Struthio camelus: one gene and its partners. The protein of the gene in region 2 purifies or fractionates together with the protein of the main gene of each other region. This does not show direct contact. Links are inferred from orthologs where the notes say so. Each region holds a gene or a part of one and is shown on either strand. Other genes may lie near its edges. The genes, in order: AMER1, AXIN1, HIPK2 and PPP2R5A.

What was found.
Region 1: the proteins of AXIN1 (region 2) and AMER1 purify together in Homo sapiens (affinity purification with mass spectrometry; 4 studies listed by BioGRID and IntAct, with this or other methods). This does not show direct contact. The link is inferred for Struthio camelus from reciprocal best matches to the Homo sapiens genes AXIN1 and AMER1.
Region 3: the proteins of AXIN1 (region 2) and HIPK2 purify together in Homo sapiens (affinity purification with western blotting; 3 studies listed by BioGRID). This does not show direct contact. The link is inferred for Struthio camelus from reciprocal best matches to the Homo sapiens genes AXIN1 and HIPK2.
Region 4: the proteins of AXIN1 (region 2) and PPP2R5A purify together in Homo sapiens (affinity purification with western blotting; 3 studies listed by BioGRID and IntAct, with this or other methods). This does not show direct contact. The link is inferred for Struthio camelus from reciprocal best matches to the Homo sapiens genes AXIN1 and PPP2R5A.

What each region holds. Positions count from the first base shown.
Region 1 is NC_090952.1:6,355,422-6,362,982, reverse strand, and holds the start of AMER1 (APC membrane recruitment protein 1), read right to left. Parts: upstream 3,014-7,561; 5' UTR 2,879-3,013; intron 2,323-2,878; 5' UTR 2,151-2,322; intron 1-2,150. UniProt on the Homo sapiens protein: Regulator of the canonical Wnt signaling pathway.
Region 2 is NC_090956.1:19,077,496-19,084,352, reverse strand, and holds the start of AXIN1 (axin-1), read left to right. Parts: upstream 1-3,857; 5' UTR 3,858-3,943; intron 3,944-6,231; exon of another isoform or gene 6,232-6,234; 5' UTR 6,235-6,325; coding exon 6,326-6,857. UniProt on the Homo sapiens protein: Component of the beta-catenin destruction complex required for regulating CTNNB1 levels through phosphorylation and ubiquitination, and modulating Wnt-signaling.
Region 3 is NC_090942.1:64,165,237-64,173,228, reverse strand, and holds the start of HIPK2 (homeodomain-interacting protein kinase 2), read right to left. Parts: upstream 3,007-7,992; 5' UTR 2,792-3,006; coding exon 2,773-2,791; intron 1-2,772.
Region 4 is NC_090944.1:114,069,509-114,076,974, forward strand, and holds the start of PPP2R5A (serine/threonine-protein phosphatase 2A 56 kDa regulatory subunit alpha isoform), read left to right. Parts: upstream 1-4,459; 5' UTR 4,460-5,366; coding exon 5,367-5,517; intron 5,518-7,466. UniProt on the Homo sapiens protein: The B regulatory subunit might modulate substrate selectivity and catalytic activity, and might also direct the localization of the catalytic enzyme to a particular subcellular compartment.

The DNA of each region.
Region 1 (7,561 bases), on a different chromosome or scaffold from region 2:
GCCCCTGGTCGCCGCACCCACGAGCACCGCATCTTTCTGATCTTTGAGATTTGCATTCGTCACCGACCTCAGCGTTCCCCTGCTCGGAGTTTCTGTTTCTTCTTTTGCAAAAGGAAATTCTTTCATGTTTCATCATATTTTAACACTGGGCAGGGGGGGTTGGAGCTGGTCTGGGAAACAACCGAGATACTACTGAGAAGAAAGAAGGCACCGCGGACTGCAAAATCTCTCCTTGCTACAGGACTTCAATCTTGACCAAAGCTAACTTGTTCAACTATCACGGCGTCACAGCGACGACCCACACAAACCGAAGGGGTAAGCCAGGAGCACCACGTTTTTTCCTCAGACGCACTCTGTTCATTGAGATCACAGCTACAAGTTCTGTGAGTAGTAACCACATTTGAAAAAAAAAAAAAAAAAAAGCAAGCAAGCAAATACTTTTACGAGCCTGGTGCAAGTTTAACAGCTCTGCCTGAAGAAGTCGCAACGCCTCCCTTAAGTCTGGTACAGAATTAGAACGCAGATTCCTCCTACGTAGGCATTCCTGTGCCTCTCCCCACTCGAAACCATGTGGGTACAGCTTTGTTTTTGTTCTCTGCTGCAAGCATAGTTTATCTGTCTGCTGGCCAGGGGGCCAAGTCTGATCTGCTGCTGTGCTTCACCTCACAACTGGCCAACATTTAATTTTCTTACGTGAAAGAGAAGTCTGGTGAGAAGGATTACAATACAATTGAGGAAAGGAGACATTTCCAGAAAACACATACAGGCAGTCACCCGGTATTTGGGGAAGACTGGCTGGATCAAGGGGCTCAAGCAGTTCACTGTTAACCCGAACACTAACGCTTGCTCAATAGCTCAAATCCTATGCAGGCCTGAAGCATACAGAGTAAGCACCGACAGAAGCCTGACCAGTGCAGCTCAGCTCTTTTGTTCTTTCAAAAACTGCACTGAAAAAAAATCAGCGTTCCGGTTGCAGCTTGCAGATAGCTGATTTTTGCTCGACAGGACACCAGCCACCTAAAAGCAGGGCCACAAGCCACTCGGAGTTAGCACTTGGGGTATGATGGCTGGGGGAGGAGAAACACATGCAGGAATCTGGGGCCACATCTGACACTGCAAAGAACTGTGCTGCAAGACTCTTTGCAAAAGGCTTTCTAAGGGCCTTAGAAAGCCCCAAGGGTCTACCACCTGCTTTGACAGGATAATCCAGAGCTCACTCTGTGTCAACCATTTGTCAAGATATTTTCTCTGCCCTGAAGGCACCATCTCTGAAAGCGAACAACCCACTTCAGAGTAGTTCAGCTCTAGGGGAGAAGGAAGGGGAGGGCAGGACAAAGAGATCATTGACTGTACAAACTGTCCAACCTGTCCAGAGTTAATCTGTTTAGTTTAACTCTCAGAAGTACAGCACAAGCAGGCTTTCTGGAGGTTGCTCATGGAAATCATCAGGGAAAAGGAGAAGATGAGATGGCAAAAGTGCAGCATCTCTCAGGTTGGTTCAGTTTAAATGGAGAACTGTTTCATAAAAGAGGAACTTCAGCCACGTTTCCCACTCAGCAAGGACGTGAACTAGAGCAGCCTATCTCTCCTCTGTTTCCTCACCAGGCTGCCACCAGACAGCCTGTGCTGTGGACTGTGTCCTGGGACGCCAGGCCCATTTCAAGACTTACCATCTCAACCTTAAGTTCTCCCTGCCTGTGACCCACCACCCTGTATGGGATGGGACTTACGGGGCAATCTCACCCTTCGCACAGCTCTTGGTGGAGTCAGAGTTCCCACTCACCCCACAAATGAATTGGGCCAGAGGGTCCACACGCCTCTGCAGAACATGGAAAGCACTTGAGGTTTAGAGTTCCACCATCGCAAAGGCTACAACAGCAAGCTCTCCAGACGAGCAAATTTCCAAAAGGCTTTGGCTGCTCATTCCTCACAAGAGGTGTGTTAGGGAGTGCGCTTTTGCGGCGCTGTATTCATTTGAGCAGGGGTGCCGCCGAGAATCTCTCTCGGCAAGGCTGCAGCAGATGAAGGGAGCTGCAGGAAGCAGCAGAAGGCAAGACCAGCACCACTGGCAGAAGCGCACCATTTCACACAGCCCCCTCAAATTCATCACCGAACGTGCCGATACAGCTCTTTCACTCCGTGGGTCTCACCTCTACAAAAACGCGGCTCAGAAAGAAGTCCGAAGCAAACTGCAGGGGCAAATTTCCACTCGTCCGATGGATTTAACTGCTGCTCCAAGCCAACCAAACTACTGGCACCGTTTCTAAAAGGCGATCAGAACACGAACAGCTGCCCGCACCCTCAAGGCGCTCTGTTAGAACCCTGCAAAGTTAGAGATAAGCTTTACGATTTTAACACGCTGGACGATGCAAAGGCAGCTGGTCGCGAGTGAGAAAGCGATCAGGCAACGAGGCAGACGAGGGGCATTAGCCGTGTGCGGGGGGCACACGCTCAGGTCGCCAGGCGCCGGCGCAGGCCCGCGGGGGCCGCCGCAGCGCTGCCCAGGGCAGCGCTCCCCCCCCGCCCCCAACCCCGGCCTCCCGGGACACCGGGCCCCGGGGGAGGGGGTGGGGGGGGGGCGGAGCGCGGGCGGCGGCGGGGACACGCGCGACGCCTCCCGCCCGCCCGCCCGCCCGCCGCTGCCGTGAGGCGAGGCGAGCCCAGCCCGGGCGGCGCCCAGCCCCGGGCCTGCCCGCCGCCGCCCCCCGGCCCCTCGGCCCGCCCGCCGGGCCTCCGCCGCCCGGGCTCCACACAAAAGCCGAGCGGCCGCCACCCGCTCGCCGCCGGCCGGACCGAGCCGGGCCGGCGCGTCCCTGGGCGCGGCGACATGGCTGCGGGGGAAGAGGCTCCGGCTCCGGGGGCCGCGGCCGGCACTTACCGGCTGCGCTGCGCCGCCGGCAGCCCGCCGATGCGGGCGGGGAGGTTCAGCGGCCGGGCATTGTGTGCGGCGCGGGCCGCCCCCGCCAACCGCGGCCTGCCCCGCCGCCCTGCGCTCGCTCCGACCGCGGGGGAGGGCCCCCGGCAGCGACAGGCTGCGGCGCCGGCGAGGGCGGGCCGAGGAGGGGCCGGGCGGGTCAGCGAGCCCGCCCCGCGCGGCGCCGGCGGGCGGCGGGCAGCGCCGGGCGGGGGCGGGGCCGGGCGGGGCGGGGCGGGGCGGCGGGCGGCCGTTGGCGGCGCGCGGGGCGGGGGGGGGGAGCGGCCGTTGGCGGCGCGCGGGGCGGCGGAGGGGGGGAGCGGCCGTTGGCGGCGCGAGGGCGGGCGGCCGTTGGCGGCGGGGCGGCGGCCGTTGGCGCTTGTGACGCCCCCCCCTCCCTCCCCGGGGACCCCGCGGGGACAGCCTGGTGGTGTGACTTGGGGGTGGCTGTGACTCAGCGGGTGACACGGGGACGCCGTGTGTGTGGCACCGTGTGCGGCTGTGACACCACAGGTGGCACAGGCGTCGCCTGGTCGTGTGACACTGCGCGCACGCACTGTGGTGTTGTGGGTGATGTGGGGACACCCTGGTTGTTTGGCACTGTGCGTGTAGCTGTGGCACCGCGGGTGGCATGGGGACGCGCTGGTTGTGTAACGCGGGGTGTGTGAGACTGTGACGCTGTGGGTGATACAGTGACAGCATGCGTGACATGGTGTGCGTGGCGCCGTGAGGCCCCGGTTGCGGGATACTGTGTGTGTGCAGCTAAGACGCCGTGGGTGACATGGTGATGCCGCGTCTGACACTGGGTGTGTGACACTGTGACACGGCGGGGGTGTGCTGCGGTGACAGGCTGTGCACGCCCTGCTGTGACAGCGGTTTTGTAGGTGCCGCTGTGACACGGTGAGTGCTCCTGTGACACGTGTGTGCCCTTCTGCAAGATGGCGTGCCTGTGCTGCTGTGACGTTCGGGTGATCCTATGACACCGTGTGCCACGGTCACCCTGTATGTGTGCTGCTGGCACAAGGTGACACTGGCACTGTGACAGTGTTTGTGTGCTGCTGTCGAACCACGTGCCACTAGCACCTCCTGTGCATGCTGCTGGCACACCGTGTGTGCCACTGTCACCTCGTGTGTGTGCTGCTGTAACCCCACTGCATGTTACACCATGTGTGTCACTGTCACCATGCGTGCGTGCTGCTGTCACCCTGTGTGCCGCTGTCACCCTGTGGGTCTACTGCTGTAGCCCTGTATGCATGCCACTGTCATACCATGTGTGCCACTGTCACCCTGTGCCCATTCTGCTGGCAGCCTCGTGCCACTGTCACCGCATGTGTCCTGTTGTCACTGCTTGTGTCACTGTCACCTGGTGTGTGTGCAGCTGGCACACCATGTACCACAATGATGCTGTTTCTGTGCTGCTGTCACCCCATGTGCCACTGGCCCCTCATGCAAATGCTGCTGTCACAGTGTGCCGCTGTCACCGCATGTGTGTGCTGCTGTAACCACCCTGCAGGCCAGTGTCACACTGTGTGCCGCTGTCACCTCATGTGTGTGCTGCTGTAACCACCCTGCATGCCACTGTCACACTATGTGTGCCCCTGTCACCCCATGTGTGTGCTGCTGTAGCCCTGTGTGCATGCCACTGTCACCCTGTGTGCTGCTGTCACCCCGTGTGTGTACTGTTGTCACCCCTAAGCCCCTGTCACCTCCCCCCCCCACAGGCAGGGAACAGCATCAGCCAGCACTGGGCTGAGGAGGAGGAGGAGGAGGAGGAGGAGGAGGAGGAGGAGGAGGAGGAGGAGGGAACCTGTCCTCGCGGTGGGCCAGGGCGAGACCTGCGCAGGAGGGTCCAAGTCAGCCCAGCTGGAGCGCTGCGGGCAAAGCGCCCTGCTCCGAGCGTGGGGGAAATAGCATTTTTCCCCACCTCTGTTTTGTGTGAGCGCCCCTCGCCCTTTTCTAAGTGATGTATCGCACCTGCCCAAATTCAATTTTGGCCACTGGCCGCTTGGGATTTCTGGCGAGCGATTTCTGCTCCGTTTAAAGTGCAGGCTCAAATAAAAAGAGTCTCGGTGGATAAATACCCATGACCAAAGACGAGGACAGCAGCAGCAGAGTGCCTTCCACTACATGCCTTTTTCACCGAAAAATTTGATTCGGGAACAGCAGAAACAACTGACTCTCCGCTCATCTGAACCACCTCCGGTCAAGACCCAGTATTAGTAGCATTTGCATGCTTTACTCTTGTTTTAAGGTTCAGCCACGGTAAAAGTCAAGTAATTTTGCCTTGCCTATATTTTTGCATCGTTGTAGGTCAGGCGTAACCGCTATCCCACACGATTAAAAATTCACCTTTTTTTCAGCAAAGACAAAATCTATGAGAAGCTGAGGCAGTGATGAGGACGCTGGAGAAGCGGTCGGGATCAATTGCATCCACATTAAACGCAGGGTGGAATTAAATGAACGGCAATACCGCCCCCTCCCTCACTCACCGACAGGGAAATGCCTCTCAGGAACTCAAAATAAAACCATATAAAATGTTTTTTAGCCTAAAATAAGTAAATAGCAGTAAGAGGGTTTGCTTTGCACAGCTGTTTGCATTAGCTGGAAGGTTTGGGCTGTTACGTCCGTGTTAAATGTAACAAGAGATACATCTCAGAAATTAAAAAGGACTGGAATACACTATTCTCCGTTGTACTACTTTCTGTTCCCTATTTTACCACTTTATTTCTTTTTTTTGTTTTTTTTTTGCCATTTTATCATATTCCCCACTGTACCATTTCCACTCCCTATTTTACGTTCCTTCTGCCGGTGCTGATTTAAGAGACACAACAACCTACCTCGTCCCTGTTGTGACCGGTGAGCTGGCTGCAACGTCCTGCCACCGCATGACGCGGGGCTCCAGATCGGTAACCCTAAAGCAGCTCTGCGCCCACCGCGCGCCCAGCGCCCGTGCATGTCTCCTGGAGCCACCCTGGGGACTGCAGGAGGGTCCCCGCAGCCATGGCTGATGGCCACAGCAGGTCACAGGGGAGGACAGGAGGGCCTGCTTTGGGGATGAAAGGACTTCACTCCTGCTTCGGGGAAAAGGAGGGTCGTTTCGGGGACAGGAGGACTTGCTATGGGGACAAAAGGGCTCGCTCCTGCTTTGGGGACAGGAGGGTCACTTTGGGGGGGACAAGAGGGCTCACTCCTGCTTTTGGGACAGGGGGGTCCCTCTGCTTTGGAAGGACACCTAGTGGCATTAGTGGGGTAAGAGCAAAGGACCGGCACGGAGTGGTAGCATTCGCACATTAATTCCCCACAGAGCAGATACGCCTTTGTCCTCCGACAGACCAGCATTCGTCAAACTGGGACTTCTTGTTACTGTGTTTTAAAGCACCTTAATCATTTCATAGCACCTTCTAGTGCTCCAAATTTGCGAACGAGGGAAGGAAGGGACACTACGCAACTAAAGCAGAGCACTGATTTTAACCGAGTCGTTGAACAGAATACGCATGCAACACGACTACGGTACCCTGGTTTATTCTTCCACATCATTTCACTCTGCATCTGCAAAACACCTCCCTAGACAGTTGTAGCTGTCCTCATTAGGAGGACGCCCTGTCATCTTACCCCAGGAAGAAAGTCACAGCCACACGATTCGGCGGGCTCTTGAGAAAAGCTAAGAGAAACGTTCATGCGTTTAACTTGGTTTCCTAGTACTGACCAGCACTGCATGACAGCTTGTGTTCAGTCAACGCTGTACTTTCTTCGGGGTGAAAACTGTGTCCTTGCTTTTTCCCAGCACGCTGGGAGAAATACAGTAGCAGCACAAGCGGTCGAAGCCTCCGGGGAGAGTCGGCCCTATGATTCTGAACGTGGTAAGCGGAGTCTTGCAAGTCTTGTTTGTCCTTAGATAGCTAACTAATGGCCCAACTTCTTCACAATGTATTAGGTTTTTAATGATGTACTACAGGTTGTTACTGGAAACTCTCAACCAGTTCATCATCAGCTTTTTAACTTTTTCCCTAAAACTTTCTTCCAAGGCAAACAGCTTTCCAGCCTCTGTGGCGACCTGAGGGCTATTTTATCTGCTTTATCCTAATCATCTTAATTTGCAAAGGGATTATCAAAAGTACGTCCCAGTGCGAGGGGCCGGCGGGTGCGCGGGCAAGAGCTGGGGGTCGCAGAGGGGGGCTGCAAGCAAACAGATGACTCCGTGCGGAGCCAGATGGTGCCTAAGAGCTGCTGCAAGTCCACGGATTAGCTGTCACGTCAAGCGCCGAGATGAATAGCATGAATGAGAAATGCGCACGCTAGGCCGAGAGCTGAAATATTAAACCAGCTCATCAGCAGTCAGACGGGCCCGATGCACCCCGCCTCCACTTTGCTCGGCAGCTCCAGAGGCTGCGTTGCCAGAGGAGAGGAAGCAAACGGCAGCAGTCGCCCATGGCCTTGGCGGGCGGACGCTTCGTGCCCTCGGTCGGGGCAGGTGAGGCAAGGCAGGAGGTTTCCTCAGGCTTCAGCAGTCCCCAGCAGGACACGAGGAGGTCACGTCCGTCCCAACACAGGTTGCTCACAATGAACTTAGGGAACCACCAAAGCCAAGACGCGCGCAGGATGGGGATGTCCCAGAGGACCTGCGTGGCTTATGCAGCCGGGACTCAG
Region 2 (6,857 bases):
ATGGATGCAGCACCCGGCCGGCTCCAATGCCACTCCCCCTCTGGGGCTTGAACTGTCAGCCTCTGGCCAACAAAGTCCTGCCAGCATTTCTCTTGCTCCTCCCAGGTCCAGCCAGGCCCCGAGGAGCAGTAAGCAGTGGAGGCTACTGGGAGGGATGCCAGGAGCTCCAGGGCACGCGAGGGCCCAGCGTGCATGCTGAGTCCAGGTACCTCAGCCACGTGCACCCTGCTCTACCCAACCTTGTCACCCCCCGCTCGCCACTCTCTGCCCTCCTACCCCTTGCCTTTGGGAGTCTCTCCCAGTGACTTGCATGGAGAAACCTGGATTTGATTTCTCACGTGAACTCAGCTCTGGCCAGGAATTCTTGCTGGGCCTTTCTCCGAGAGACGAAAAGCCCTCTAATACCTGATAGTCTCTCACCCATGAAGCTGCTTCAGCACTGTAATCGGGGCACCTCTTAGGCTCCTTTGAACTAGCTAAAGAGGCTGCATTTCTCAGGCATCTCAGTGCAAAATGTTTTCTCTAGAGACTGGGATCCTGTCTAACTCTTCTCTGCCTGTGCTCTAATTTTTCAGCATCCTTTCTCAAACGCAGACACTGGAACAGGGCGAGTTTTGGGTTCCCATCTTACCAGTGTCCTAGACACCTAACACCATCCTGCTCCTCACCACTCCCCCACTTCTACATCCCAGGCTGGCTTGACCCCTTCTGCTGTAGCATCAACCCCCCATCTCGGTCAGGACTTCCCAAGGGGCGGCTACCCCGGCTCCTACACTTTCATCCGGTGCACAGATGTCTCTGAAACTCTTTTCTGAATCGTTCCTTTCCAAAGTGCAGTTTTCCGTTAGAAGCAGCAGCCTGCATTCTGTGCTCCTAAGAGGTATCATTTTGCATCTGTCCACATTCAAGCACACTTTATTTGCCTGCACTCAGCTCATGAAGTTTTCTACAGCTGGCTTGACCTCGTCGGTGTCTCCTGCCCCTCTCGTTTTCCTGGCTCCTGCATTTTTCTCAGCAGGGCTTTTTAATCTATTTCTAGACCATTGAGGAAAATGCTGAATAGCATTGGGCTTCACATCAAACTCTGCGGACACCCACTGAGAATGCTCCCATTCTGCAAGGATTCCCCATTGATGGCTGTCGGTTTGCCAGTTCCCAGTCCCTTTAAGGTGTCTCTCTTGATGTTGTATTGTGCTAATTTTTAATCAGAATACTATATGGATTAAGTCACATGCCTGAACAGAGTCCAGGTCTATTATTCCTGTGCCATAACCTTTATCAGCCGAACTTGTAATCTCTTCAAAGGATGACATCAGAGTTTGACAAGAGCTATTTTCCAGAAACTAGGCTGATTGCATTAATTATATTCCATCCTTTAATTCTTTACCAGCTGAATCCCACATCAGCTTTCCCATTATTATGCCTAGGTCAGTGTTGCACTGTTACATGTAAATCAGCTACTAGCATCATTCACATGAAAGAGCACAAGGAACGGCACCCTTCTGCCGGGCTCTCCTGCAGGGTAGGGAAGGGGAATACCCCCGGCTGCGGTACATTTTGGTGCGTTTCAGAACGCTGAAAAACACGTTGTACGTTCCAGAAAGCGTCCCCTGAAATGCATGAGCACCAAACACAAATGTGAGCAAGTGCTGAACGTACAGGTACACACAGCAGAATAATGCTGATTTTAATCAGCAGCTGATCCTTATCGGAAATCTTTTTGAGCCGCTTCTGGTTTCCAGAGGACTGTCTCGTGGCTTGTTTGCTTGTTTAGCTACCGGGATCACAGTGAGGGGTCTGCCTGACTCTGACTGTCTGTTCACTTTCCAGGGAAGAAACAGGCTTCGGATTTCCCTGTAGTAGGAGTTCCCTGAATTCTTGTTCAGTCTTTGCACGTGGTAGTCCCCTTCTTTTTCTTTTTGCAGCGTCACCCAGCCCTCCCACACATGAAAGCCTTACAGTCTAGGTGTTGGGGTATCCCTTCCAGCCAAGGGCTTTCTCTAATCAACCATTTCTGGGTAAGGCACCATCCCCTCCACCTTTTCTCAGGAAGAGTCTCCATGTTGTTTCACCTATTTCAGTCTATACAGTGCCACCTCTTGGTGAGTTCACTTATTTATGCTAGCTGCAGAATTGCGGGGTTCCTCAGAGAAACAGGAGACGCACGAGCAGTTTTGAAATCAGCTCTAGTTGTTTGGCCGGGCGAGAGCCACCCGCAGAGCAGTTATCTGCACTCCTCTATCCCTTGGCCCACAAACGCAGGTCTCTTCTAGGAAGACCTCAAATAAAAATTAACCATTAAATCCCACTGCCTAGCAGAAGAGGCCTAGGAGTAGTGTGGAGCCAGCCTTGAGGATCACTGCCCTTTCCTTTCCAAGATGAAGAGAGATCTTTTGTGGGATGTAGCTGCGCAGCAGAACAGCAGGTCTCTGAAACACGAGTCTCTCCTGGGCTGTGTTCTGGTCAGGATGCTTTAAAGAGCTCTCCTGGGCTTATTTTGTCCAGAAAAGCAGAAGAAAAAGGAGGTGTAATTCCATGCTCCTTTCCCACCTCCGGAGCTGCTCAGCCTTTGAGTAAGGCAGCAGTTCAGTTAGGTTCTCCTAGGCTTTCCCAAGGCAGCAGAGCCCATGGGCATGCCAGAGTCCCGGACCCCTCTCAGCTACCCACAGCGGGCAGAAGTTACGCACTGAGGCGTGCGTGATCCCCGAGGTCACCCTAGAGGCGCGGGCTGCTCTTGGTCTGGGATATCCAGAGGGCAAACCGCCCCACTGACCGTGTCAGCCTGTGTTCACGTGGGCCGTTCCCCAGCTGGGCCTTTGAGGTCTCCCACGCTTCCGCAGTCCCCGTCTCGCCCCCGAAGCAGCGTGGCCACAGGGCCTCAAGGAGCGCCGACCCTCGCGGCAGCTCAGCAGGGCTCACGAGGCCAAACCGCGGGGCCGCACCAGGCACGCCGGCCTCCCTTGTGCCAGCGTCCTTGTCCCCTTGAGCGCTGACGGGCGCCCAGATCACGTGCCCTCCTCTTACGGAAAGGTGCCGGGCGCTTCTCCTTGGATGCCTGCCGCTGGTCCCCGGAAACGACCGCGTGGTCGCTGCGGCTGGGTCTGCGGTGGCGGGGCCGGCGGGTCGCTAGGTCCCGCACCCGCCAGGCGACAGAAGGGACAGCAGGGCTCGGGGCCGGCGGGTCGCTAGGGCCTGGGCGACGGCGAGGCTCGGGGACGGCGGGCCACCAGGCCCCGCACGCGGCCCGGGCGACGGCGGGGACGGCGCGGCCGGTGCCCGGCGGGTGGCCAGGCCCCAGGCGCGCTCCGGGGAGGGAGCTCCGCGCCTCGCGTGCTGCCCGGTAGCGCGGTGGGCTGCGCGCCCGGGCGGCGGCCCCGCTCCCCCGCCGCGGCCGGCCCTGGCTCGGCCTCGCCGGGAGACGGCGGGCAGCAGCGCGGCCCTGTCACGGGCCCCCGCGGGGCCTGCGCCGGGGGCGGCCGCGGGCAGGCGGCGGGGCCGGGGCCGGGCGGCCTCGGGCGCGCTGCGGCCCCGGCGGCGGCGGCGGCGGCGGCGGCGGCGGCGGCGCCTCCCCCCGCGCCCGGCCGGGCCCGCCCCGCCCCCGCGCCCGCCCCCGCCTCCGCGGCCGGGCGGCGGAGCGCGGCGCGGGCTGGCGGCGCGGGCCCGGCCCGCAGTACCGGGCGGGGGCGCGGGGGGCGCGGCTGAGCCGCTCTCTCCCGGCGCTGCGAGGCAGCGGCGCAGGCGGAGCGGTGCGGGGCTCGCTGCTCTCCGTGTCGCCGCCAGAGCCAGCGGCCGCGGCCATGGGCGTCCCGGGCCGCCCGCTTTGTGCCGCCGCCGCCGCCCCGCCGCCGCCGCCGCCGCCGCCCGCCGCCCCGGGCCGCCGCCGCCGCTGCTGAGCCGCATGGGCCGGGCCCCGCGCTGCCGCCGCCGCCGCTGCTCCGTGCGGGTGAGTGAGCGGAGGGGAGGCGGCCCCGAGCCCAGGCCCTGCGCCGAGGCCGCGCCGGGAGGCCGCCGCCGAGCCGGCGCTAGGCCGCCAGGGCGCGGGGGGCGGGCGCTGCTGCCGGCGGCCGCGGGGCCGGGCCGGGCCGGGCCGCGCGGGGCGGGAGCGGGAGCGGGAGCGGCGGCGGGGGCGCGGGCCGCCCGGGCGGGCAGGCCGGCCCCGCCGCTCGCCTGCCCCGAAGTTGCCCGGCGGCGGCCGGTGCCGCGCTGCGGGGCGGGTTCGCACCGGGCCGCTCGGGGCAGAGCCCTGTCAGCCTCGGAGCTTGAATCCCGGCCCGCGGCGAGCGGCTCGCTGCCCACGGGCGGGCTGAGCCGCGCGCGAGCCGCCGGCAGCCCCCGAGCGGGGCAACTTGGGGCGGGGGCGGCGGGATCAAGGCGGCCGGGGGGCGCCGGCTCGCTCCTCCCCCCCCCCCGCCCGCCCGCCGCGCACGTCGGGGCCGAGCCGCGGGCCCGGCGGCTGCAACGCGAGAATCGCGCTGCGCCCCGGGGGCAGCGGCCGGGGCCCGGCGGCCGCCTCGTCCGCCGCGGCGGCCGCTCCCCGCCCGGCCCCGACGGGGGGGCGAGGGCCAGCGATGGAGCCGCCCTCGCAACACAATGACCAAAATGGCTCGTGCGCCCGTCCCCGAGCGGGGCTCTGCGGCCCTGGCGGCCGGGGCACCCTCCTGGGCGAGAGCGGCGCGACCGCGGCGCTCGCCGCCTCGGACCCCGGGCGAAGATCGCGGCGAAACGCGCCACGCAAAGCAGCCGCCCGGCTCGCCGGTGCCCGCCCGTCCGTCCCGCGCGCCTCGGGCCCGGGTGCGAGGAGCGGTGGCCGCTCTTGGCGCTGCCGCCCGTTTCCATGGGTCTGCTGGGTCCTGGGTGATTTTGCTGGGTTTCGGTGACGCGCCGGTTGGCTGTAAGGACAGCCCGCCGTGGCGGCTCGTAGGTGGTGTTTTTCAGCTCGGCCGAGGAGAGGAACCGGGGGAGACAAAAACGGCCACGCATCCAAAAGATGCGTTCATATGGGTGGGGTGAGCTCGGAGAGAGAGGCTGAGTTGAAGCGCGTCTTCCCTGCTATGTTTGCACGTGCGATTGAGTGAATGCAGTGCAAGGAGCAGTTTGGCAGGCAGCTGGAGCTTTGCAGTACGCGAGGGCTTCGAGGCTGACGGCGTTCTGCACAACAAAACTTCTGCTGCTGCCTTTAAATAATTAAGTGACTTTGCCTAGCCGCGAAAGTAGCTGTCCAGGGATCGTCCTCCTCTGCTTTTCCCTCCTTCCCCGCACCTTCCATCCTCCATCTTGACTTGTTACTCTTCTTTAAAAACGTCACGACTGATCAGGTTGCCTTCTTGAGATGCTTTTCCCATCTTCGTTTGATGACCTGAAGTTTTCCCAGGCTTACAGCACGCGATGTTTGTTAGCTTAAATGAACCCTTGCTACCTGGCCTCTCTCTGTGAAGCGCAGTGCCAGAACTGAAATCCTGTAGTAACATGCCCGTTACATGCAAGAATGTAGTTCAGATGCCCAAAATATTGGGGTCATTGGTGCGTTTGGATTCCCCTAGCACTAGATAAGACCGTGCAGCGCGCCTCTAAAAGGCAAGAATTTCGGGGGAATTTCACATTTCACATGTCACCTGATTGTATGGGCAGCCACCTGCGCTTGGCCAAGTTGTGGGCTCACTTTCAGTACTGATTGGATATTCTTTCAGAGTATTTTTCCCAGGCCTTAAACTCCTGCTTGGGGAATGAGGAAGTACTAAATCTGTAGGCAGATAAAAGCATATTACCTTGGTGTGACTTACTACATCTGCTAGTTAGACTTACTCTATTTAATCTGCAGGTAAAGTTAGTGTCCGGTTTAGGAGGCTGCATGTGTCCTTTTTCTGCGTGCGGGCTGTTTGCCAGTTGGTGCTCCAAGCGTAGATCTCTTGGAAACGGGGACTGCCAAATCCCGGAGTCCTGTAAAACCACCTGTATTTTGAAGTTGGCTGCTCTTAGTGTAGTACCGGCTGTATCATTTATCCTGAATGCTGGAACTAAAGTTTTGGAATGATCTTTAACAGTTATTTCTACAGGTAGGAAGGGAGTACCTGCTTTGGTCCCGATTTTGCTCTCTCTGAAATGGCTCAGAGCTTTGCCATTGGCTTTATTAAATCTTCTTTTTCAGCACAGTAGTGCAAAGCAAAATTAGTGGTCTGTAAGCTTAGAGTGTTTGTTTGCAGTAATACTTGATTTTTTTCTCATCTATTTCAGCAGAACAAAGGTGTTCACATTGGAGCTACAAACATTGGTGTTTTGAGATTTCAGCTCTTCTCCTACGGTTCCTGTGCGAGCAAGTGCCATAAAAATGAACGTCCAAGGGAAAGGCTTCCCTTTGGACCTCGGAGGAAGCTTCACTGAAGATGCTCCGAGGCCACCAGTTCCTGGTGAGGAAGGTGAACTCGTGTCCACAGATCCAAGGCCAATTAGCCATGGTTTCTACTCCAGTAAAAGTGATGTCGTTAGAAATGAGATGTCCACAGCAACACCAAGGCGCTCGGATTTGGATTTGGGGTATGAGCCAGAGGGGAGCGCTTCGCCAACTCCACCCTACTTGAAATGGGCCGAGTCGCTGCATTCCTTGCTGGATGATCAAGACGGTATCAATCTCTTCAGGACTTTCCTGAAACAGGAGGACTGTGCAGATCTGCTGGACTTCTGGTTTGCCTGCAGCGGCTTCAGGAAGCTGGAGCCCTGCATGTCTAACGAGGAAAAAAGACTCAAACTGGCAAAAGCCATTTACAAAAAATACATCCTCGACAACAATGGAATTGTGTCCCGGCAGATCAAACCAGCCACAAAAAGCTTCATAAAAGACTGTGTCATGAAACTACAGATTG
Region 3 (7,992 bases), on a different chromosome or scaffold from region 2:
CCTAGTTCTTGTACACCCTGCACTCACCTAAATATTCAGAATTGTGAGCAACTCTGTGCATGTGCTCTACGTTATCACTCACTTAAAACTTCTACTGGAATCATTTTCCAAGGTGTCACATTTCCTCCCAGGGCATATTTTCTGTAAAAGAGCCTATGTTCTGAAATCTATATGGTTGGGAGAGATACAGTTCCACATACCCTTGCCTTCGTTGTGGTGGTGGTGGGTGCGTGTAAGTGCGTGTGCCAAAAGAGATCACTCGGCCTCGTGCAGCGCTGGTGCAACGGCGAGAATACAGAAGTTACTGCCCGGTGCAAGCCCTAATCCAACACGTCAGCTCTTGCGCTCTCCTTAGCGGCCTAAATGTACCTGATGCTCCAGAGAAGGACTACAGCCCAATCTCATTATACACGCAATACTGTGTTGAAAAGGGAGGATCACAGTCCTTGTCTCCTAAGGAGGAATCGTCTCCCGCGTGCAGTAAGTTTTTATCGGTGCACTGTGGTATTTCAGGGAATACTAAGGACCTCTCATGGCAACTAGGAGTTGAATAACATTCATTAAGCCGTCCTCCACCTCCCTCTAGGCTTTCTGAAAGCAACCTCACTGACAGACCTATTGCAACCAAAAACTGATAAAACAATCTAAACCAGCCTTTATGCTGTTTATTGGCTCTGGGGATTTGAGACATGCACCTACTTTAAGGCTTGACATTAACTGTAGAGTTTGGCCACGGAGCCTGCTGGCTTTTCTGTGGGGGTTCCAGGGAGCAAGTCTTACAGGCTGCTTTTGGGGGGATTTTTGTGGTCTAGCGTCTTTTCCCAGGCAAGCAAAAGCAGGGCCACAGCTGAAGTCTGGATGCTGCAAGGAACTGCTAAACTCCCAGCAGACGCTTCTGCGTGCCACCACCGTCTCGTGTGGTTTCCTCTCGCCTCCAGGAGGGCTCCCGCACCGGGGCGGCCCCAGGCTGGGGTCGGGGCCTCCCCTCCGCTCGCCCAGGAGCGGGAGCCCTGCGCCCGCCGGCGGTGAGGGAAGCGCGGCCGGGCCGGCGGGGAGCAACCGCAGGCCCCGCTCGTTATTCCCTCTCCGGGCGAGCGAGGCGACGAGCGAAACGCCCTGCCTCGGTGACCCGGAGCGGAGCCGTAACCCCGCCGCCGGGAACGAACCTCCTCGGCGGATACAGCCCGGCTAGGAGCGAACTTCAGCGGATCGCTGCGTGCTCCAAGGCGCTGAAGCCGGCGAAGGGCTCGGGACAGCAAGAGCAGCAGGCGCTGCGCGGCAGGGCAGGGCAGGCGCCTCGACCGCGCCGCGCCCGGCGGGCTCAGCCCAGGGGGCCCGGCCGCCGCCGCCGCCGAGGCCGCGCAGGTGCGGAGGGACCGCGGGGGGCTGCGCGGGCCCCGCCGCGCGGCGCGGCGCGGCGCGGCCGGCAGAGGGCGCCGCCGCCGCCGGCTCCGACCCGCACCCCGGGCCCGGCGCGGCCCCCGCCGCCGCCGCGGCCCCTCCGCGCCCTCCGGCGGCGCGGCCGCCCCGCACCGCACCGCCCGGCCGCCCCCCGCGGGCGGCGGGGGAGGGATGGGCTCCGGCCTCCCGGCGCCGCCGAAAAACAATCCTCTTTGTTTCTTTCGGGGGTGCAAAAGTCGGCATCATCTGGGCTCCCGAAGGCTACCCAGAAATAACCCAGCCGGCTCGGTAACTTTAGACCATCTGGCAAGCGCGTTCATTTGCAGCACTTCAGCCTCTGCTAGATTTTCCCCTCAGATAAGTTTTTATCAGCCTCGCCATACACATAAAAGTATTGCTTCCCCTATTCCTTTCCTCTCCCAGGCATTAAAATCTCCCACCGCTATAAATCGATCGGAGCAAAAAAAAAAAAACAAAAAAAAACATTTCTGGGCAAAATAAAATAAAGCCGGATGGATTTCCCTCTAGTTTATGTAACGCTCTACAATCAATTCCAAACCAGAAGGGGTGACGGAAGAGAATAAACACATCGCTAGGTGATTTAAATTAAGCCAGAATTATTTATTTATTTATTTATTTTTACCAGTCACCCGAGATATGCCCGTATCCAACCCCTTCTGTTTTCGACCCGAAAAAACTTAAGTTAGGGTACTTTGGGCTTTCACTGCAACGCAGGGCTTGATTCAAGGAGAAACTGTAAGAGCTGACAGGCTGGTGCCCGCAGCCCCTATCCCCCCTCCCCGGCGCCTATGCCTCCACACACGAGTATTTCCTCACCCCGGAAAATACGTGTAGCCGATCGGCAAAACCCCAGAAAGGGCTAACTCGGTGAAAATAAGGCGAAAAAGGCACAGGGTGGTCAGCGCTGGAAATTAAAACTACACCGAGGCGCACACGCAGGCACACACACACACACACACACACACAAGCTCAGTCCACCTCATTGTTCTGCTCGGCACCGACACGGACTTCACCCCCCCACACCCCGCCTTCCCCCCCCCTCCACCATCACCACCACCTCGGGGGTCCAAACAATCCCCCCCCCCAGGGGCCGAGCCGCGCCGGGCCCGTCGGGGGAGCGGGGCACGTCGTCGTCGTCGTCGTCCCCCCGCCCCGTCCCCCTTCCCCCGGGGAGCCGCGGTGGGGGGGGGGGGCGCCGGCAGCCGGCGATGCGGCGGCGGCGGCGGGGGGGGGGGGGCAGCCGGGGCCGGCGGGCAGCAGCGGGCCCCCCGCGGCCGGCGGAGAGCGGTGCCGGCTCCGCGGCGCCGGGGGCCGGGTCGGGCCGGGGTGGGGGGGGGGTAGCAGCCTTACCTTCGTACATGGGGGCCATCGGTGCAAGGACGCCTGTTATTCATGGCAACGCCGCCACGAACGACGCGAGATCGCAGCCCCCCAAACTCAGCACACATCTGCCATCTTGAGCGGGTGTCTCTCGGCGGAGGCGAAGCTGCCGCCTGCCTTCTGCATCGCTGCCCGCCTCAGCGCGGGGGGAGCCGGGCACATCCAGCCCCGCTGCCGGCCCTCCGACGCGGCCGGGGCGGGCGGGGGGCGGCGGCGCCGGGCCGGGGCCGGGGCCGGGCCGGGGCCGGGGCCGGGGCCGGGGCCGGGGCGAGGCGCGGGGCCGGGCAGGGGCGGCGGGCGGCGGGGCCCCCCCGGCTCGGGACGGCGGCGCTGGGGAGGGAGGGAAGGAGGGAGGGAGGGAGAGAGGGAGGGAGGGAGGGAGGGGGGCTGGCGCCGTGCCCCCGCGCTCAGCGCGGCATGGCTGCGTGCGCCGGGGCTCCCTGCAAAAGTTGCACTGGGGGCGAGAGAAAGGGAGAGAGAGAGAGACGGAGGGAGAGGGAGAGACGGAGACGGAGAGGAGGGGAAAAAAAAAGGCAAAAAAAAAAAAAAAAGCGAAGGGAGTTTGCAAATAATCAAGCGCCGATGGCACTGATCGCGGCTTCCCAGAAGGAGAGGGAGCGAGCGAGAGAAACCCTCTGCTGAGATTATGTGGGATCTTGTTTAACAACACATTTCAATCAGGAGAAAAAAGGAACAGTCAACAGAAGTTGGTGAAACACTTCTGTCTTCCCCCCCCCCTCCTCTTTATAGAAAAGAGAGGAGGAAAAAAATAAAAAAGGCAGCTGATTGAAGCTTTGCAATTCACTGGCTGTGGGGATCATATAATTTGAGCTCATGTTTTACAATAGCATGGAAAATTCCTACCTCTCCCCCTCTCCCCAAATAAATCTTCTGTTCCCTCAAGGCATTTCACAATCTGGTTCGCTGACAAAAGTTCCAATTTTTCCTTTCTTTTCCATTTAGCTTGCTTGCAGTGTAAATATTTAGAGGATGCATTTAAAATAAACATACGTTGTTGCTTTTAGGATTTGAGGTTTTTTTTTTTTGTTAAACAGAACCACATCAAAGAAGTGTTTACTTATTGAGATTGACAGCCACTACACCCTCACCCCCCTCAATTTTATTTGGAAAGATCTGTCTCTCTCATTCAGCTATTGCTAGAAAGAACACGAACCCGACCAGCATCATTTTTGTCAGTGCATACAGGAAAGCTCTAGGTAAAGCCACGTTATCCAGAACGTCTTTTGCTTCAAAGTGGCTTTACAAGGGAAGATAAGTCACCAGGTACCCATTACGCAGGCAAGGAAGCTGAGACGCACACAAGACACACAGCAGCAAAGCCTCTGGCAAAGGTGGAAACAAAACCTTGGGCTGTGATCCTGCAATAACTCCCATCTGGATCTGCCCGCCTGGAGCTCCTTACCGGCAAGCAGTCTGGGACTAGACCAGTGAAGACGTATTCTCTTAGCACCTGCTATTGTGGCTAGCCCTAAAAACGGTGCTTCTCGTTGCTGCTGGTGCCAGCCCAGATCTCTCCCAGCGCAGGATTAGATTCCAGCAGGGCTCGACACCCCGCCACTCCTGGTGAGATACCTTAAGGAGGAGGAGGAGGAGGAAGGCAACTTTTATTTAGTGATTACAGTGAGAGTCAAGTTCTCCTGACGGTCCAGCTCCTAGACTTGGGGTGCTCAGGGCATGCCAGTGCTACAAAGGAAAAAAGGACCACAGAGCAATCCTTGCTGATCGTCGCCTGGAGCAGGATGGCCATGTCCACGCAGCAGAGCATATGATCCTGGACCCCATTATTTGCCAGATAGCTTTCGTATTTTACTTTTTTTTCCCCCTCCCAGTAAAAAGTGCCATGAGGGCTTTTAATACCACGAGGGCTGCCTTGCAGCCCATTAGCTTTATGTTTACAACACGAAATTTAACTGTGCTGGAGAATGGCAGACAGGGCAGGTGGAGGTGTTTGAGGGTGCAAAGTCTGCTGGGACAGCACTGGAGGACTGTGTACAGCAGAGGGAGCAAAACCGGTTGCGGTCTCATCTGTTCTTCCTTTTGAGCGTGATCCCCAGACTGAACGACACCAGATTATACCCCATCGTCTTGAAAAGAAACGGAGCTTTCTTCAGCTGGACTACTGAAGAAGGGCAAGGCAGAGCCAGGGAGCAATCAGTGTGCATGACGGTGGGCGCAGTATTCACACGTGCCTCTTATTTGGCCATGCAGATGTACCATCAGGGTTCAGCAGTGACTTGATAACCTCACATTTTCCTGGAGCATGCTTCTGGTCATTGTAATTCTGCGCTTCTCTCTTCTTTTATGATTGAGGACATTATCTGCTTTTCAAGGCTATTGATGCTAGTGATCCAGGCCTTTCTCCTTGCCCTCGATCAGAGTGGCAGCTGTGCGGAGCCCCATTTCAAAGCCATGGAGGAGAGATGGATAGCATTGGAGAAAAGCAGAGGACATGATCAAAGGGGAAGGAGCAGGAGGTTAAAGGAACTGGCCTCTTTCCCCAGCATAGCGTCTTACTGCAGCGTGGCTTTGGGTTAGCCACATCAGCCCCACTTTCCTCAGCTGTAAAATGGGGACAGTGGTAACGGCGTCCACTGCATGACAGCAGCACTGATGCTTTCTTCTTTTTCCTCTCGCCCTCTCCATTTCACTCAGAGCTATCCTGCAGCCATTGGTCCTCAGTTAACTCCACTCCCATCAAAGTCAGCATGGTGCAGGAGCTAAAAACAAAAAATAAACCAAACCCTGTCCCTGCCCCCCCAAGAAAAGAGAGGGGGTTGGCAGAGGGCTTTTCAGGGTGCGCTTCATGTTGCCCAAGCATGGAAATGGTGCTGCCACTCCCTGCAGTCGAGTAGAGTGTGGAGAGGGACGCCGGAGCAGCCACACTGAAAGGCCTGGGCATGACGTACCTACAAAATGCTAAAAACGCCTGGATTCAAAGCACAGCTTATTTTACTTCTTCTAGAGGCAAGGTGCTGAACTTGATGGAGCATGTGGCTGGCCCAGGACAACGATTCCTGGTTGCCTTTCAGGCTTGGTAACACCACAGAAAACACCGATCCTCATTTGCTGATAGTGCAGTGACAGGACAGTCAGCAAAGCTATTTCCACCAGCTAGGACTGTTCTAGTCTCACATACTTTCAAATGTTGCTGCAAACTGAGGTCACGTGGGTAAACAAAAACCAGCTCCAATGGGCTCTGACTGCAGCCCAGATCAGTTCTTAAAACCCGGCGCATGGAGCAAGCTCACAGCGTCTGGGCCCGCAGAAGGAGCAAAGGTTCGTCCTCTGGGGCACAGGCTTCCCCCCGACTCTCTCCGGCAGGAGTGTCTCCTTGGCAAGGCATTCGTGGAGGGTGGCTTGGGGCCAGGGAGCTACAACCGCTCGCTGCCCTTTCCCATTGCCCTGCACAGGCAGGGATGCACTCAGGATACAGCCCAGCTCGCAGCCTACTGCCTTCTTTCAGTTCCCTCCAAAACTGAGCAGCCGCACAAGGAGGTTTGCCCCAGCCGCCTGCATCCCACCTGAGTCAGACCAGGCAACACGGGGACCTCCTGGCTGTCTTGCCGATGTCACCGTGGCCCTAGACCGTGTCGGGAAACCCTGTCGTGGGAGATGTTGGAAGACAGGCAGCCCATCCGGGTGGATTTAGCTCCCCCTGCATTGGCGTGAAGGTTGAGTCGTGCAGAAAATGCAGAGGCTAACAGCAGAATGGGGTTGCCCCCTTTCAGCAGAGACTGGATGGTTTGTTTCTCCATCACACTGGAGTGGCAGAGGAGCACTTGTCCGGGCAGCGCACCCCAAAATCCCTCAGGCAGCTGGGCAGCGCAGCCCCCCGAGCTGACAAGCTCACTGTCCCCAGCTCTGGAGCAGCCGCAGAGCACAGCAAAGCTGCTGGATGAAGTCTCTAAGCCTGGACACGGCCAAACACGCAGTGCGAACATGCCCATCGGGACGCAAGCGCGGGCACTGCAGCCTCAGCCCCCCCAGGACAAGGCCACCCGCATGAGAGATGGTTGCCCACTCTCCAAAAGCCTGAGACTGACAGGACATGTCACTAAAATTTTCAATCCACAGAGACTCTCCTATCCTAACGGACTATTTCCCCTCTTTGGTCCCTTCTTGTAGGGGAAGACGGGTAGCTGGTGCTGGAGAAGCACATTTTAACGTGTCATGTTATGATTTTTCATTTATTCATTTGCATACTTCAATCTATCAAAAACACACCCATGATCTGGATATAAGTACTCAGCACACTCATGAAACGCACAGCCTTGTCAGGCAGCATCGCGCACCACCAAAAGAGCGGCATCATCAGCTCTGTCCACCATAACTCACTGACAGTGGTGGTGGATACGAAGCCTGGGGAGGGAAGGATGCCTTCTTACAGCACCGGGCTGTGATTCAGGAGGGCTAGTTTCCATTTCTGGTCCAGATACTCAGATCTCGGCGACCCTGGGCATGTTGCTCTCTTCTCCAGAAGGACACATAGTGTATGACTGACATGTCTCGGAGGCTGCTGGTAACAACCAGAGCCTCTACACGTAACTGCAATATAGGGAAGAGTTACTGTTCTTTGCCAGAAGTGGTGAGGGCTTGGGAGTGGTGTTCTTTTTTTCTTTCTTTCTTTTTTGGAAGTTGAAACAGATTTTGGCCAGGGTAAAAGGAGGACAGAGTGAGAGAAGGAAAGCAGGCAAGTTTTCAGACATGACTGTCAGTCATCATTCAAAAATAAGGTCAAAGCCCGTGCATAGGGCCGGCTCTAACATCTGCTGAACGAAACAGGGAGAATCCCATAGTCAGCAGTGGCTTTGGCTCAAGCTCATCGCAGAAATGTGGCAGTGAAGTCAGGGCTACTGGCTGTCACGTAACCGAGCACGATGAGCAAATGCCTCTTCAAGATCTTCCCAGAGGCGCTGGTGGTGACCACTGCTGCGTCCCCATGAGCGCCGGAGGAAAACGGATGAGCTGCGCACATAGCGGGGCCCAGCTTGAGCTGTTTGGGCAAGGGTGAGAGGGGCTCAGAGAGCCATGCAGGCAGCGTGCCTCCCCGTCTCTGCTCCCTCCAGCAGGCCATAGCTATGCCAACAGCGTGCAAGGGGCAATGCTGGAGATGCAGCCTACCAAGGTGCAGTTTTTCCCGCTTTCTCCTAAAGAAACCTGAAGGAGACT
Region 4 (7,466 bases), on a different chromosome or scaffold from region 2:
GTGTACAAACTTCTTAAATTTTTTATTTGCAACACAACCATGTTGGATTAGCTAACAGAAGATTGAATTAAAAAGTTTTAAAAATAAGAAGAAGAATCACATCTAGTTTTCACAATCCACTGCCTGCGCATACACAAGCGCATAGCTTTGCCTGGAAAGGCTGCAAGAATGTATTCATAGGTATGCTGAAGGAAGTCTAACTCAGAGCCCTCACAAGAGAAGGTCCTGCCAACTAATCTCTGACTTCCAATCCCACGATTTTAAATCCTGCTCTAGGAGGAAGATAACAGATGGTCTCTGAGATAAGTGATTCTACATTATTTAAGGATTTATCAAGCAAAAGATTTAGGAACACTTCTGCTAGATAGTGACTATCCAGTGCAGACATGCAGACATTTACACACTTTAACCTGAAATATGTGAATAACTAACTTGGTTTTAGTGGCAGGCACAGTTCAAGTGCTTAAACTTAATCCCAGGCATGCTTGAAAGAGTAGAGCCTTAGCACAGAAAGTATTTTAAGTTAGCTGAAAAAAATACCTAGAAAAACCGATGGAATGGTGCAGTAGTAAATACAAGCAGTGTTGTGACGCACAGGGATTTTCCTTTAAATTCTTCATTTTGAGAAGGATATCAAAAGGTTTTCATAACCTCTTTCCCCACAAACCTTCCTGGCTGAGGGTTCACCCACTTATGGCATCCTCTTTACTATTATATTCCTCCTACTGTCTCGGAGAACTAGATTTCTTGCAGCTTGACCTGACAGAAGAATGGGAAAGCAGAACTAGTTAACTCCTTATCTCCTGGCCACCAGACAATTCCCTGTCCTCTGTAGCAACCTGATCCATGAAGCCCCACGCTTCCAAGCCAAGTTTGTTAGAACTCTAAAAGTTAATGACACATCAAGTTCCCATTCATATTTTTGAAGGTCTCACTCCTGCAGGGAAGATGCTGAGAAGATGCTAAGAATATACAGGAAATAAGTCTCTATGATTTAACGAAAAGTATTGCAAACGTGACGTTTAGTGAAATCTCTTCTAGAATTTTGCTCCTCCATTTAGAATGATAATGATCATTACTTCCTAAACCTTTGACTTTTCTTCCAAGTAAAGTTAGACACATGCACAAAGTTTTGCAGGATCCATGCTTCAGTGTATATTGAAGGCTCTGATTTAAGAGTTGGAATAGCTTGCCATAAAATTACCGTTCACAACATTCTCTGTGGATATCTCAGACTTTTATGAATTAGATTTGGAGCCAGCAGCTTATAGCCTGGCATCGTGACCACGTGCCTTTAAATACACTCTAAAAACCATGAGGTTCAGAAGCTGACTCACAAGCAGCTCACAGCTGTGTAGGAAGCCGTGTGTGCAGCAAGCAGGGAAGGGCAATCTCTGGCTTTCTCAAATGTAGCTGCTTCAAATTGCCAGTCGGAGCTCTGTTTCCTTTTTTCTCCTAACATCCCAATCCCATAGACCTGTATGCTCAACTGACTTTATTCATTCATGTAATTCCACTGACCTCGTTCACTAATTCAAATATTACAAATTCAGTTTGTGAAATTAGAGCCGGTCCACGGAGCTGCTGCTGATTCTTTTTCAAAACAGAAGAGTTATAATAAAAAGACAAAGGAAAATTCGATAGCTAAAAATAGATTTGAGAGAATAAAATTGTTTCTTTTTGTTGGCTGACTCAGATTTCACTGATATTTCTTGTGTGAGTGATATAAAAAGATAAGGTCTGAAAATATTTTCAGGCGCAATCAATATGAAAATTCCATCTTTGCAAGATTACAGCTATTATTTACTTAGGTTTCTGCATCAGGAATTTCAACTGCCAATGGATTTTTACAACATTGTCTTATCAGCATGGCAGCCATTCCAAAGCCTAGTAACCTTGAAGAAAGTATTTTAAAGCTCAGAAAATGCTCTTATGTTACTTAGCATTTATATAATGCTTTTCCCTGACAGCTTTCAAAATATTGAATGGATGGAACTTTAAGATAGATTCCTTTACACTGAGAAGAGGCAGCAAGAGTTGAGTTGCCACTAAAGACTGTATCGGACACACTAGACAGTGTCACTTTCTAAAAATGGGTGTAGCAGAAAATGACAGCTGTTGGAGGGCAGGCAGGAATACACTGACACAGGGACTGGGCCTTAGTGGGCTCTGAACAGGAACTATGGTCTTTGAAGTGAGAGGTGAATTAACCAGGTAAGGAGTGCAAGAATTTCCTTTATTACAACAAATACACGAGCTTGCAGTTTAAAGTGCCTAAAGGTACCCATTTTGTTTGTAAAATGGATTTTGTAAAATATATTTATAAAAATACAAATGAAATAAAAAGTCTACCTACCTACAAGAAAGATAACAGCACACTGCAACTTATGCTTAGGGAAAAATAACTTATAGATATATTGGATAGTCTGGAATACTTAGAAAAAAAATTCTTAGACTACTCTCCACATTTTCTGAATACTAAAGATTAATTAAAAGCAAAAAAGATGAAGGTACACAAGTAATCATGCATTAAAAAGTAAGTAGAGATGGTGTTGCCATAAGAAAGAAAAAAGGAAAGACTGATAAAATGAAATAGTTCCTATAGAACAGGCTTATACAGTCTTAGTTTTCTATGTTCACACAAAGCCATAACCTACACTTGATTTTTGATTTACTGATCATACATCTGAAGTTTAAACTCCCACCTCATGAAAGTATTTAGGAAACATATACAGTTACTTCACAGTATTTACAACCTACCAAAGACATTCAGATCTGAGCACATATTTAAAATACCACAAATATTTATTTGCTGAATTGGTACCTAAAACTCTGCATTAAGAAGAAATGTGTTGATATGCACGAAACTAGTCTGTCATCTCTACCTGAACGACAAGCTAAGGCATCCCATATGTTTATGGTTCAAAAGTAGGGCTGTTTGGATATGGAAATGGGACCGGGTAAAAGTCATATTTTCATGTAGTCATATACTGCATCCTCAAGCATCATGCTTTTCATTTGGTGTAACAGTTACAAATCTTGTTTTCCATGGCTGAAATTCAACTGGAATTATATAAATTGTACGGAATTTTTACTTTTTGCGACATATTTGTAATTGAGACACTAGACCCAAATTCCATCCCCCAAAATGCTGCTATTCCATTTTTTTGTGCAGAAAGATAGAATTTCTCCTATTCCCGCCCCCCATTCTTCCATTTCATTCATACCCATGGTGTAAAAGCAACATCTCTTGCCACCCATGGGCCTACAAGATTTGGTATTCTTATTCTAAGCCACCAACAAAAAAAAGAATAAACATTCACACTTTGAAAGTTAAGCACGTGCTTGCTTCAGACAACCGTGTGTGCTGCAGCAGCCTCCAAAACGGCATTGTGACTCAGTAAACGCCATGGTAACCCAGATTCATAAAAGTCAAACACATGGGAGAGAAAAATGCGTGGTGTCAGGACAAGCAAAAAAAAAAAAAAAATAGAAGCACTCGGAAGATAGCTAAGGACAACGTCCCCCACACAAAACTCATTTAGTTGTAGCGTCACTCCAAGCACACAGCGGCCGTGGTTAAGCACGCTTTTAGCAGTTTTCTCAGTGGGGAGCGTCTCCAGTTACCACACGTGGCTGCTAACGGCCCGCTGAAAGGCTCGAGCATAACTGCCGTTTTCCCAGCAGCACCAGTAATTTCTGGCCAGCCCCAGCCCTGCCGGCCGGCCGGCCCGTGCCACCCGGGGGGCGCCGAGGCCGGGAGCCCTCGACCCCCGCCACCGCCGGGCTCAGAGGCCGGGAGGCGGCGAGGAGCCCGGCGCAACGCCATGGCGCCGGGCCGCGCCGGAGAGGCGCCCAGGAGGGCTCCGGCCCGGGGAACCTGGTCACGGCGGCGCCTCCTGACCCCGCGACGGCGAAGCCGAGCGGCAGCACTGAGGCGGCCCCAACCCGGGGAAAGGGTTTCGCCGCCCGCACGCGGGGCGCCGCGGTAACGGCTACTGCGGCGGGCGGGGCGGGGCGGGGCGGGGCGGGAGCCTCGCGCGCCCAACCGCCTCCCTCCCCGGCGCGAACGCCGGCCTTGGGACCGCCCCCTGGCGCGGATTGGCCGGGAACCGCCCCACCCCCCCACCTCCACCTCTCCCCTGCGTCAAAGATTAAAAACCCGCCCACCCCCCTTTCGGCCTCATCCGGTTGGAGAAGCCTCTTGTCAATCACTCCTTCCCCGGGAACTCGTCCCAGCTCTCGCGTTCTTCCCACCCCCGGCCCGCGAGGGGGGGTAGTGTGTGTGTGTGTGTGGGGGGGGGGTTCCATGGTGCCCTTTTCGCATTGGCTGCTCGGCGCTGCCAGTCATCGAACGCCGGCGCAACGGCCGCTCCTCCGTGCCTTTCTTGCCCCCTGGCGGGTAACCGCTGCCCCGCCCCTCTCCCCTCCCCCCCCCCACCGCCTTCCTCCCCGCCTCAACTCCACTCGCGCCGCCAAGTTGCGCGACCGCTGGCTCGGCGGCTCCGGGGCTCGGGCGGCGCGGCCGCGGCGGGCGGAGACACTCCTGGCGGAGCGGGAGGGGACAGGATGACGGCGGAGGCGCGGGGAGCTGCCGGCGGCGGTTGAAGGCGGAGAGAGGGCGTGTGGAAGCGAGCGATTTGGGGAGGAGGAGGAGGAGGAGGGGGGGGTGGAAACTGCCTCCCCGGTGGGCTCGGCCCAGCGGCGAGCGCGGCCGATGACAGCGGGCTCGGCGCGGGCTGGCGCAGGCGAGCCCGGCTGAGGGGGGCCCGGAGCGAGTGAGGCGGGAGGCGGGCAGCAGCGGCGCCGCCGAGCCCGGCCCGCCGCGGCTCTTGTTGCGCCTGCCCTGAGGAGAGCGGGAGCCCGGCACGCCACCCCCCCGCCCCGCTCACGGGAAAGTTTGGCGTGTGCCCGCCCCGCCGGGCAAAGTTGTTGCTGGGTTTGTTTGTTTGCTTTTTTTGTTTTTCCCTTCCCTCTTCTCCCCTCCCCGCCCGCCGCCTCCCCCGGAGCCGGCTCCGCGCGGAGAGGAAATTGGGAGGGAAGCAGGAACTGGGGAGCGAGGCAGCGGCCCGCATCCAGGAGGCTCCTCAGCGCCCGGCAGCGAGGGGCCAGCGCCGGGACGGCCGCTGCCCGAGGCGGCGCGGAAGCCTGCTTGCCGCTGGGACACCAGCCCTCTGCACCGCCTTTCGCCTTGGTGTGTGTGCGCGGGCCGGCTTGAGGGCAGGGAGCCTTTTTTTTTTTTTTCTCCCCCCTCTTTTTTTTTTTTCTTTCTTTTAAGCCCCTTTTTTGCCCGCCCGCTTTCTCCCTCCGCTTTAATATATGCTTGTGGAGAGCGACGTCCCGCCGCGCCGCCTCACCGCCCAGCCATGTCGGCGGCCATCTCTGCCGCGGAGAAAGTGGATGGCTTCACACGGAAATCGGTGCGCAAGGCTCAGAGGCAGAAGCGCTCGCAGGGCTCCTCGCAGTTCCGCAGCCAGAGCAGCCAGGTGGAGCTCTCGCCCCTGCCCCAGCTCAAAGGTACCGCTGCCCCTCTCCCCCCTCCGGCTAACAGGTGCCCCGGGGCCCCTCGCCTGCCCCACCGCCGCCTGCCGCGGCTCGTCCTCCGGCCCCGGCTGCGCCCTGCCGCCGGCCCTTGCGGCCGTCGTGCTCGGCGCGGACGGGCTTTCTGCCTCGGGCCGCGCTTCTCCGCGGGTAACGGAGCGTGCGGGTCGCTTCTCACCGCCGCGGGGCTTAACTGCGCTACCTGGCAGCCCCCTTCCTGGCTCTTTTAGGAGTAAGCGTTGGGAGGGCAGGTAGGCTTCCTGACGGCTTGTGCGCAACTGTAAACTCTCCCTTAAGCTGATAAATTTGAGTGTAGGAGTAGAGAGAATTGAGGATTAAAACCGTGGAGCAAGTGGTGGCTCCTCCCACGGGGGGGGTTTTGCAAAGAGGAACTCGGTGCCTGTGGCATAATATCTTGAGTTATCAGAGAGGGTTTGCCTTTGACTTGTTTGTGCTTTCCCATCACCTCTAGACAGTTCTTGAATGACTCTTTACTTGTCTTATTCTAACTATCAGGAATTGCCCCAAAGCCTCTCTCCTGCTTAGTGTGGTACAGGATCAGTCACACGCAGTGAATTAAGGTTTTTAGATGCTGGCCTCACTAAAACTCAAAGAAAATAGTGGACGCTTATCCTGTGTCCTGAAGCTAAAATCTGAATAGTCTATGTTTGTTAGAAGAGTACAAAAATGAAGTTAGTTGTAGCCTGTCACACCTTTAAACATCAAATTCAAGTTGTATATATTTCTTGTTGTTTTAAAAATTACAGAAATAGTTATTAGGTAGAGAATATAAGTTTGTTATTAAAATAAAGTGTTTGACAAGGACCTGAGAAAGACGGTGGAGGTGTTACCTTAACGTTACCCAAAATACTAAATTTCTTGATGCTACTGTTGATCTTAGGATTTTTGAAGCTGTATCATGTGATGATGGACAGCAATCTCAATTTGCATCAAAAATACAGAATTTAAATGCAATTTAGCCAGCTTAAAAATAGTTTTAGGTATCAAATAACTTTTTTTTTTGCTGCTTGTTTTCTTCTTACGGCTTTTATAGTCATGTTTATAATATTTCAAGGCTTTTTTACTCGAGTGGTAGATGTACACAGTAGACAGTGTAAATCATGAAACTGTTAGCAGAAATGTTATTAGAAGCAAATAAGCTAGGGCAGGAAGGTAACAAGGGAGTTGTGGGTTTTTTGTTTTGTTTTTGTTTTTTTCCTCTCCCATATCTGTTGCAGTAACTGTGGGTGTTCTTACTGCTTGGTTAGGATTTTCTTTTCTCTGTCAAGTTCTATCCTATCTTGGTAAGCTAGTGTAATTTGAGAAAACTAGAATAATTATTTTAATTCTTAACCAGAGTAATTTGTTTGAGATCAGAATTCAGTTTCTGCTCTTGGTATGGCTACGTTTCTGCATATCTTTAATAATGACTCTCATGCATACACTGTTTAGACAGTGTATATTGCTCTCAAATATGATTTTTATAACACTGCTTGCTACTAAGACCCTGTAGAAGCACTTGGTAAATATCATGAATAGGTGGCAGAATTCAGGGAGTTTTGGTCCTGATTCTGCAAGCAGTTAAGCATGCATACTTTATGCAAGAAATGACCCAGCTTAAATCAGTAAAATGTCCAACTTTACATTCTTTGCTGAGTTGGAACTTAATGTTAAAAATGTTTCACTCTGTACAGTTAAGTCTTAGAGTTTTGTGAGTGTATTTTTAAAGCTGTGTTCTTGTAGTATAGGAAATTCTGCATGGCATCAGCAGCTCAGACGTTTGGAAATTTGAGGCCATGAACAATCAGAGGAATGTTTTCAGTTATTCATAGTTTTATAGTAGTCTGAATTGCCTTAAATTCTTAATGGAAAATAACATCTGGCTTTGTGCTTATGGTTTAAATTTAAGACTCATACTCCAAATC